2 linked regions of the Caenorhabditis elegans genome follow. The protein of the gene in region 1 interacts with the protein of each later gene in a pairwise test. Each region holds a gene or a part of one and is shown on either strand. Other genes may lie near its edges.

The links.
Region 2: the proteins of ceh-33 (region 1) and eya-1 interact in a two-hybrid assay, tested with the Caenorhabditis elegans proteins (2 studies listed by BioGRID).

The regions. Positions count from the first base shown.
Region 1 is NC_003283.11:5,322,580-5,326,734, reverse strand, and holds ceh-33 (Homeobox protein ceh-33), read left to right. Parts: upstream 1-2,068; 5' UTR 2,069-2,118; coding exon 2,119-2,159; intron 2,160-2,252; coding exon 2,253-2,328; intron 2,329-2,695; coding exon 2,696-2,797; intron 2,798-2,838; coding exon 2,839-3,042; intron 3,043-3,084; coding exon 3,085-3,248; intron 3,249-3,298; coding exon 3,299-3,497; 3' UTR 3,498-3,541; downstream 3,542-4,155. Other genes in the region: C10G8.8 (HABP4_PAI-RBP1 domain-containing protein), read left to right, coding at 1-60, 1,070-1,219, 1,285-1,461, 1,511-1,759.
Region 2 is NC_003279.8:14,228,224-14,233,519, reverse strand, and holds the start of eya-1 (Protein phosphatase eya-1), read left to right. Parts: upstream 1-2,159; 5' UTR 2,160-2,277; coding exon 2,278-2,295; intron 2,296-2,489; exon of another isoform or gene 2,490-2,531; intron 2,532-4,418; exon of another isoform or gene 4,419-4,488; intron 4,489-5,296. Other genes in the region: clec-114 (PAN-3 domain-containing protein), read left to right, coding at 389-485. UniProt on the Caenorhabditis elegans protein: Tyrosine protein phosphatase. Acts probably as a transcription regulator in the embryonic and postembryonic development of several tissues including pharynx, vulva and gonads. Required for the development of anterior tissues during late embryogenesis.

The sequences.
Region 1 (4,155 bases):
AATCATGGAAATTCTGGAAGAGGAAATCAGAAAGAAGGGCATTCGGAAAAGAAAACCTCGGTAAGCTTTTGATTTTTAGAACTAAGTTTCAAATTTCAAAAAGTTGTTGAGTTGAAAAAAAAGTTTTAAAAATGTGTACAATTGTGACGTCATAAAGTGTAATAGAATACGTTTTGCAAAATTACTTAAACCAAAAAAGTTGGATATTTGCTCAAAATAACAGAAAACAGTCCCAATATACCGAATATAACTGTAAAAAATTAATAGAATTTGCCTAAATTTTTTATTATTTTTTCCAATTTTGCAAAAAATATGAAACGGCTTATTCTGAATTCCCGCGCAAATTAATAACCTAGTTTTGAATTTTCTGGTATTCCTCTTTTGATAACGGGTTTAAAATTTGAAACATTGTTTCTGGCATTTTTCCATAAATAAAACTTGATAGCCTAAAAGAAAATTAACGAAATTCTGAAATTGGCCTACAAATCGATAATTTTTATTAATATGATTTTTTTTTTCAAAAAAAAGGTACAATTTTGAATTTGAAAAGAAACCAGTAAAAAAATGTCAAAACTATGTAGTTTATTAAATTGCGCGGGAATTATAAAATGATTCAGCCTTTTTCAATTTTTTTTTGAAATTTGAAAAAAAACTCACAAATTTAGAAAAAGTCATTTAATTTTTACATTTGTATTGGTATATTCAGACTGTTTTCTATAAATTGGAGCAAAAAGTGGCACTTATTAAAGGCTATTTTATATGTTACCAATGATTGATAAAAACACAGAAACCGGGGATGATGCCTGCCAAATTTAATTAATGAGATGTAAATATTGTATGACAATTAAGTAGATCAATACATCAAGGGGGCCCCCTTCCTGCCACCTATCCCCCTATTTGATTTATGTAGTACATAAGTATCACTGGCCGTCCAGTCAATTTCACACCTGTCACCATCTCTCATCAAATAGTACCGCTCACCAGCCGCCTGCCAACCATTGGATATTGCCACCGATAGGTGTTCTCAAGTTTCATTAACACATCCCGACGAATCTCCGGCTTTTTGTAGGTGACCGCTTCCGATGGAGAGGCTCAAAGAGGGCAGAGAAGACGTGGAAGTCAGAAAGATCAGAAGGATCAAAATGGGAAACAGCAGATTCAGAAGAAGGATGGAAAAGGAAAGAGCCAGCCGGTTGGAGATAAAGTTAATGAGGATAAGGTATTTAGAATTTTTAAGAAAAATGTATTTCATTTTAAAAAAATCAAACAATTTTTCAATTTCAGAAGAAACAAAAGAGTAATCGTACGCGTCGTGAGAGTGATAACTATGCAGTTCGAAAAGTTCTCCACAGAATAGTTGACAAAGTATGTTGGATGGAGCGAGTTGAGAAGAGAAGAGCAAAAAATGAACTGCTCGGGGAGCAAGAAGAATTGGAAGAGGAGCCGAAGAGTGAAGATGAGGTAAATTATAGCTTTTACCCATAAATTTTGAAGATAAAATAATCTTTAGGTTGATGTGGAAGATCACGATCAAGAAGAATGCCAAGATCAAAGAACAGAGACTCAAACTCCAAAAAATTCTGAGCCGGCTCAAGAAGAAGAAACCCGTGCAGAGGAATCTAAAGATAAAGAAAATACCGAGAATTCTGATGAAACAAAAGAAGAATCTTCCGAAGATGTAAAAGAAGACAGTAATCAGAATGTGATCAGTCTGGTCCGTGAAAAAGTGGTTACCATGACAACCTCTCAAGTCGCCTAATCCTCTAAATTTCTGTGATTTTTTTTTTCATAAGAAAATTTAAAAAAAAACCAATACAAAATGACATTTGTGCCTTAATGCTTCCCACTTGTTCCCATATTTCAGTTTATCAACCTGCAATATTTATTATTACGCAACTAATTTTTTTTTGTAAATAAAGCTTCTTCTCTAAGTTTACTGTATCAGAAAAAATTGGACAACAAGAATTTAGCAGCAGCTGTTCCAGTCTGTTATGAGGGAAATATGAAAACGAAAGCGCGTTTTTCGTTTTTCCAAAACTTCTCACTATCAGTTTTCAAACATTGTGTCACACCGAGCATCGCCGTGTGAGCATCATCATCATCAGCAACCCGAGCAATATGCAACTAAACTCCTCATCGTTTCATCCTCATCATTTTACGTATGTTCTTCTGATATTGATACTTAATTTTATCAGATTTCAACACGATATCTGCTGGAATTTCATCGCCTCAGTTTCTTGTTTCTTTTTCAGTTGCGACACGACCAGATACTCCGAAGAGCAAGTTGCATGCATTTGTGAAGCATTGTCAAATGATGCGAGGAAGTTGGTGAGTCTGAATTTTCCTTTCGATTTTTTTAAAATTATTTGTTTCCCTTGTTGTATCTCGGTTGTGTTTGGTTTCTTTCAAAAATTGCATATTTATTAAAATATAGAAAAATTATTAGCGCATATACTTGTGAAAAATGTTTCAATAAAATCAAGGACAATAAATATGTATGCTTTTAAAGTAGAGCGATAAAAGTGCAAGACTAATAGGAAAATTACGGTATATTCTAGACTAAATTGTTTCTATTTTTGCAATTTTAATATTTTTACAATGTTATAGAAAATTGAGTTTCTAAATACTCTCAATTTAAAAAAAAAATTTGGCTTGTCCGAATAAAAGCCTAAATCCTCAATTACTCAAATTTCAGTCTCAATTTGTTTGGACTGTGCTGGAACGAGATGAGATGAGAAACAATCAGTATATTCTAAAAGCTCAAGCTTTTTTGGCGTTTCACTCAAATAACTTTAAAGTAAGAATTACTCCAAATTCAATGTATGTTTTAAAATCTAGGAACTATACCGCATAATCGAATCTCATCATTTTGCATCTGAGCATCACTTGCCTCTCCAAGAGTGGTGGCTCAATGCTCATTACCACGAAGCTGAAAAAATCCGCGGACGCCAACTTGGAGCTGTTGGAAAATACAGGATTCGAAGGAAATATCCACTTCCAAGAACTATTTGGGATGGCGAGGAGACTAGTTATTGTTTTAGAGTGTGTTATTCAATACTTTTCTGAAAAAATTTTGTGATTCAGGATAAATCTCGAGTACTTCTTCGTGACTGGTATTGCCGGAATTCATATCCAAGTCCAAGAGAGAAAAGGGAGTTGGCTGAAAAGACACATCTGACAGTGACCCAAGTATCTAATTGGTTTAAGAATAGAAGGCAAAGGGATAGAGCTGGAGTTCCTGAGCCAAAGTAATTTGATTTTTATAAGCTATGAAAAAATTAAATATAATTTATTCCAGAGATTGTCTGAAAGATATTAGTGAAGAAGAAGATCTGAAATTAATTCGGAAAACTGCATCAAAACTTTCCAATTCATTCCATAATCCATCAGATTTGTCTTCCTACTCTGCTGCAGCTGCCGCCGCAACATTTCCCGGTTTTTATATGAATTACAATGATATGATGATTGGCGCTGGTACCTCTTATCAATCTTTATAATGTTTATTTTCTATGTAATTTCTAATAAAGTCCCTCAATAAAATTGGCTCCACATACATATATCTTCACCACCATTTTCTCCGCCACCCATTGAACATGCTGCTAATGTAAAATAGCGGAGCCAAGAAATGAAAAGCAACGGGACTGGTGGCGAGAGAGGAAATTGTGTGTGACCATAGGTGAAATTCAATACTTTTTTCCCATTTCTCTCTCATTCTCTTCATGATTACGGTAGTTCAGTCAGCTTCTTCTTGAAAAACAAGCAGAGAAAGGGAGAGAGCAACAAGAGAAAAATCAATTTTTTGGAACAATTTCTGAAAAAAACACATTTTCTGGGAACAACCGTTCAGCATGTAGATTGAATGACCCTGGTTTTGTTTTCCAAAAAAATAGACAAATTTTTTATACCGCATTTTCCTTACAAGATGGCCTAAAAATTATAGAGACTGTGAAAAATGGGAGAAAAAAGATAAAAAAAATGAAAATCCATAGAATATTTATAGATTCTGGCACCGCTGTGAAGTTCGAAAAGTTATTTGAAAATTTTCCGATTTTCAAATTAGATATTATTACTTGTGAAGTTGATAATTTCTGTCTTTGTTTAAACATGCGCACTTCAAAGTTGCCCCAGAATTTTGAGATTCAGATATGTTGCGGT
Region 2 (5,296 bases), on another chromosome or scaffold:
GAAATTTGAACTCAGCACAGTTTAATTAGTCCAGTAACTCAAAAACAAAATTTTTTTTGCCAAAGCGGACTCGAACCCCGGTCGTTTGATTGGAAGCCCGCCAAAATCCCACTGCGCCATTTGGACATGTTTCTGAAAATTATTGGAAAACGTGGTTTTTTCTAACTTTCAACAATTTTTGATATTTTTGCGGCTTTTCAGCATACTCTGACGCTCTTCTAAGCTCACATAGCTATGGAAACTTGAGCTTTAATGTTTTTTCTCGAAAAATTGACATTTTTGGGAAAGGGAAGGAATATAACACTTTCACTATGCGCCAGTTGGACCATTTTTTGTGAATTTTTTTATTTAAAAAATCCAATTTTTTCCAAATATTCGAATTTTTTAGATGCAACATGTCAACCGCAGGGCTGGTACCCACAAATATATGCTACAAAGGATACGTCTGCGGAGTGAAGCCCACTAGTCTAAATTCAACATTTTAATTTTATTTTTCAAACTTCCAGGTTCATAAACTGTTCGAGAAGCCCACAGAAGCATTTTTCTCGAGAGTTTCCGAATTCGACCTGCTAATTTTTGAAAGCAGTACCTGAATTATTGAAAACTTCTTATTAAGACTTCTAATTTTATTTTGCTATTCAAATTTCATATTTTCTAGAACTTTTCAACTTTTTGTCCGACTGGCTCAGTGGGATTTTGGGTGACTACCAATTTCACCACCTGGGTTCGAGTCCGCGCCTTGGCATATTTTTTTGTTTTAGTGTTATTTGGCTAATATCGACATTCTGAATCCGAATTTCAAGGTCCCATGCCTTAAAACTCAATGGGTTTCCTCCAAAATCAATATTCCATTGCAAAATCGTCCCTCGTCCCATATACTACTAAAATTGAAGTCAGCGTCTCGACTCTGTGCTCCCGAAAACTGAAATATGATCGCTTCGCCGCTTTCGCACGCTCCCCATCTCCCTATACTCTCAGAAATGAGAGGAAAATAAGGGAAGGGGGTAAAATCAACAAATAATATCGATTTTTTGAGAAGGTATAAAAGTTCGAAAAAATCACAAAGCAGTGTGGAAATGTCTAATTTTTGACCGAATTCGAACTCGGAAAGTCGAAATTTAGTAGAATAACACCAAAAAAAAAATTATGCCACATCGCGGACTCGAACCCCGGACCTCAGATTGGTAGCTGGCTAGAATCCCACTGAGCCACTCGTACACAAAAAGAAATTAAGTTTGAGCCGACCTAGCAAGTCTTTCTGGTTTTGAGAGTTGAAAATTCGAATTCAGGAGATTTGTATTATTCTGAGAACAGCAAAACAAAAATTCATGCCACAGTGCGGACTCGAACCCCGGTCGTAAGATTGGTAGCCGGCCAAAATCCCACTGAGCCATTCGGCCAAATTTTCAGAAAAACTTGAAAATTACGGTTTGAGCTGATTTTTCAGCAATTTCGATATATTTTTTTTTTCCAATTTTGAACTTGTTTTAAAGTTGTTCAAGCTATTGGAGACCAAGCTTCGAAGGGATATATATATATCCCCAAAATGTTGAAAATGTTATTACAAATAGTATATAAGTCAGAAATCCGTGTTCAGCAGGGCTTGTATAGTCAAACCAATAAATAAAAAAATTTATGACACAGTGCGGACTCGAACCCCGGTTGTCAGATTGGAAGCCCTCCAAAATCCCACTGAGCCATTCGAGCAAATTTTCAGAAAATCGAGGTTTGAGCTGATTTTTAAAAATTTTGAGCATTTTTTGGGACTGTTCAGCATATGTCTCATGTGTGCTAGGTGCAATGAGCTATTAAAATTTAAGCTTGATAGTTTATTTTCAATAAAAAGTTAAAAATTTGTATGTTAAAAATTCGTGTTCAGCAGGGCTTATATAGTCGAACCAACAAAGAAAAAAAATTATGCCACAGTGCGGAGTCGAACCCCGGTCGTCAGATTGGTAGCCCTCCAAAATCCCACTGAGTCACTCGTACAAAACTTTTTTTTCAAAATTAATTTTTCAGAATCCGAAAATAATGCGATTTTCCACCAAAAGGCGGAGCTCCGAGCAGACAGCCGACTGGCTCAGACATACGGTAGCTCAGGGGTGAGAGCTCCGAGAGCTCAGAGAGCCGGCAGAGAAAACGAGAGCACACACACACACACAAATACATCAGAGTCAGTCTCTCCCTGCTTCTGCGTGCCAGTTGCTCAAATTTTTGCTCAACAATTTCCAAATCTATATATCTGAAATTGTTCGCAATTCCTGAATCAAAAAAAAAATGCTTCCAGATTCTGAGGTGAGTTATATGTCGCTTCAGGGCGCCCCCGGGCGCCCGGTACCCCATCCCAAAAGTATCAAATATCGGCATGGTGATGAAACTGGAGAAAGTTCTGCGAGAAGGGTCTGTCTGTAAGATGAGCTCTTCCAAGACACCCCCCCCCCCCCCCCCCCCCCCCCCTCCATGTACCTCCTTTCCCCATTCAGTACCTAGACAGTTCTAGCTAACCTCTCCTACAATGTTCTCTGTATTTTGTGAGTTTTCTAAACCGTGAACTTTAATTTAAAAAACTCGAAAAATCGATATTTCTAATCTTAAAAATGTTCCTGAATGGCGCAGTGGGTTTTTGGACAGCTTCCGAGCAGAAGCCCGGGGTTCGAGTCCCCGCTGTAGCATTTATTTTTGTTTTTGTGTGGATGAGCTATATAAATGATTCTTGGCTTTAATTTCCTTGTAACCCAGAAAAAAAGCTCTCGGAGCTCAAAACGAGTAGAACTGCGAATTTTAATGGTACGGGGTTGGGGTTTCAGATAAAAATGTAGATTTTTAAGCTGAAATAAACTTTTTTCAGAGCTTTTACTCTTCATTTTTCGCAATTTCGAAAATTTGGTCCAAGTGGCGCAGTGGGATTTCGGATGACTTCCAATCTGACGACCGGGGTTCGAGTCCGCACTGTGGCACAATTTTTTCATTTTACTGTTTCTAGATTAATTTGAGTGCGCTGAGTTCAAATTTCTATCTTTTAAACTTCTAGGTTGAAGTTTTTTAGTAGAAAATTCCGAACTTTGTTGCAACTCGGAAAAATAAACAAATCAATAATTAGCGAAGTTTATAATCCACGTAAACAAATGTCTGGGTCACCTGGTGCTCAATGAGCACACTTATTTTTGATTTTCACTATTTTTCCAAAAAGATACATTTTTAACTAGGAACTTGCTCCGAATCGCCTTTTAAACTGACATTAATCAGAAAAATTATCAAAAATTATGATGTACATCCCTATTGTAAATTTTGGATTTTTTTTTTGGTCAATTTATGCGACTAGTTGATTTTAGGCACCCCTTAGTCTTTTTCCAATACCCAGTTGAGTCTAGATACCCCCTCACGCAACCATATTACATCATTATATAGCCATCATTAGCCAACTTGCAACAGTTGGGGGGACCCCCTGTGGTGACGGGATCGAATTCAGAGGTCTTGGGGCTCTTCGATGCACAATTTCTGTGGCAAAGCAGTAAAAAATCCAAAAATAAAATTTCGAAAATTTGGTGCAAGTGGCTCAGTGGGATTTTGGTGGGCTTCCAAGCAGAAGACCGGGTTCGAGTCCGCGCTGTGGCTTAATTTTTTTTTTTTGGTGTTTTAGACTAATTTGGGTATAGGCATGTCGAAAATTTTAGTCACGAGTCAGAAAATGGCTCAATGAGCATAAGAGATGAGTTTGAAAATTTCCTGGCGCTTATTTTTAAATTTTTAAAACCCTCGTAACTTTAAAACTAGAATAGCAAGAAAAAAGTTTCCAACCACAAAATTGTAGGAAATTTTCCAAGTAATATTTTGCTAGTTGACAACTTTCCTCGAACTATGCTCTCCACCGAGTTATGGTAGAAATCGCAACACCTGTTTGGTGGCGGGGAGCTCTGAGAAAACTCCCGCGGCTCTTTTCTTACCTGTTCGCCGGCGGTCACTTGAAACTAGATACCCTTATACCTTTTTTCCGCACCGGGCTCTTACTAAGTTTTAGGGCTTTTGGGGAACCCTCCGGGATTGATTCAAGTCAAATTTTTTTGGCCGGTTTTTATCAAAATTTTAATTTTTTCACTCATTACTTCACTGCCCCCCGGCCTAGTTATCACCTCCACTACCGTGTATTTGAACAACAGCGACATATGTAAAGCTCCTGTGCTACTGCTCGCCGAGCAAACAAATACAGATGGCATTGTTTGTGAAGCACCCCGTCCGACGCCTTGAAAGTAGTGAGGGAAGAAGAAGCTGAGAGCTGTATGTAAATGGAGTGGTGGCTCGGGTTTCGTCATTATTCCTGAGAACGGAAATTCGCAAGCTTTGGAGGGGTCCTGATGGGGTTCAGAAGTCTGTAAAAGCATTGAAAAAGAAAAAGAAAAAATATATGCCACAGCGGGGGTTCGAACCCGGGCCGTGAGATTGGTAGACGCCGAGAATCCCACTGAGCCATACGGTCAATTTTTTTGAAAATTTTGAAAATCGAGGGTTTTTGTTGGTTTGTAGGCAATTTCTCCAAATTTTGAGCTGGTTTTTAAAATATCCTGGGCTCAGTGAGCATTTCAAGATTTGATAAAAAATTCCCCGGTTTAGTATAAAAACACCTAAATAAAAATATATGCCACAGCGGGGGTTCGAGCCCTGGTTGTAACTTTGGTAGCCGCTGAAAATCGCACAGAGCCATTTGGACAACTTTTCTGAAAATTTTTAAAAATGAGGGATTTTTGCTGATTTTCAATTATTTTGTTAAGTTTTTTTTTTCAGTATATTAGCCTCATTTTTAGGGTATTCTAGGCTTAATGTACATCCGAATCAAGGGTGTCATTTTTCGATTTTTCGATTTTTTTGATTTTTTCGATTTTTCGATTTTTCGATGTTTTTCAGTGAAAATTTACTGTTTTGATTATCCTTCCCTGTGGGGGAACCCTTTTTGAATAGATATTTACAACCTCCTACAACGAAAAGGTTCAAAAATAAAACATTATCAGCTGTTTTGTAAGTTTATTTCAAAAATCGAAAAATTTTTCGATTTTCGATTTTTCGTTTTTTTCGGAAAATCGAAAAACGAAAAATTTTCGATTTTTCGAATTTGAAAAAACGAAAAATCGAAAATTTTTAATTTTTCGATTTTCTGGAAAAATCGAAAAACCGACACCCTTGATCCAAATTACAAGAAAAATATATGTTCTTTGCTAGAAATAAAGATTTCCGAGAACTTAAAATATTGCTAACTCGAAATTTGTATCCAGCAGACCCGGTTTAGTATACAAACACCAAAACA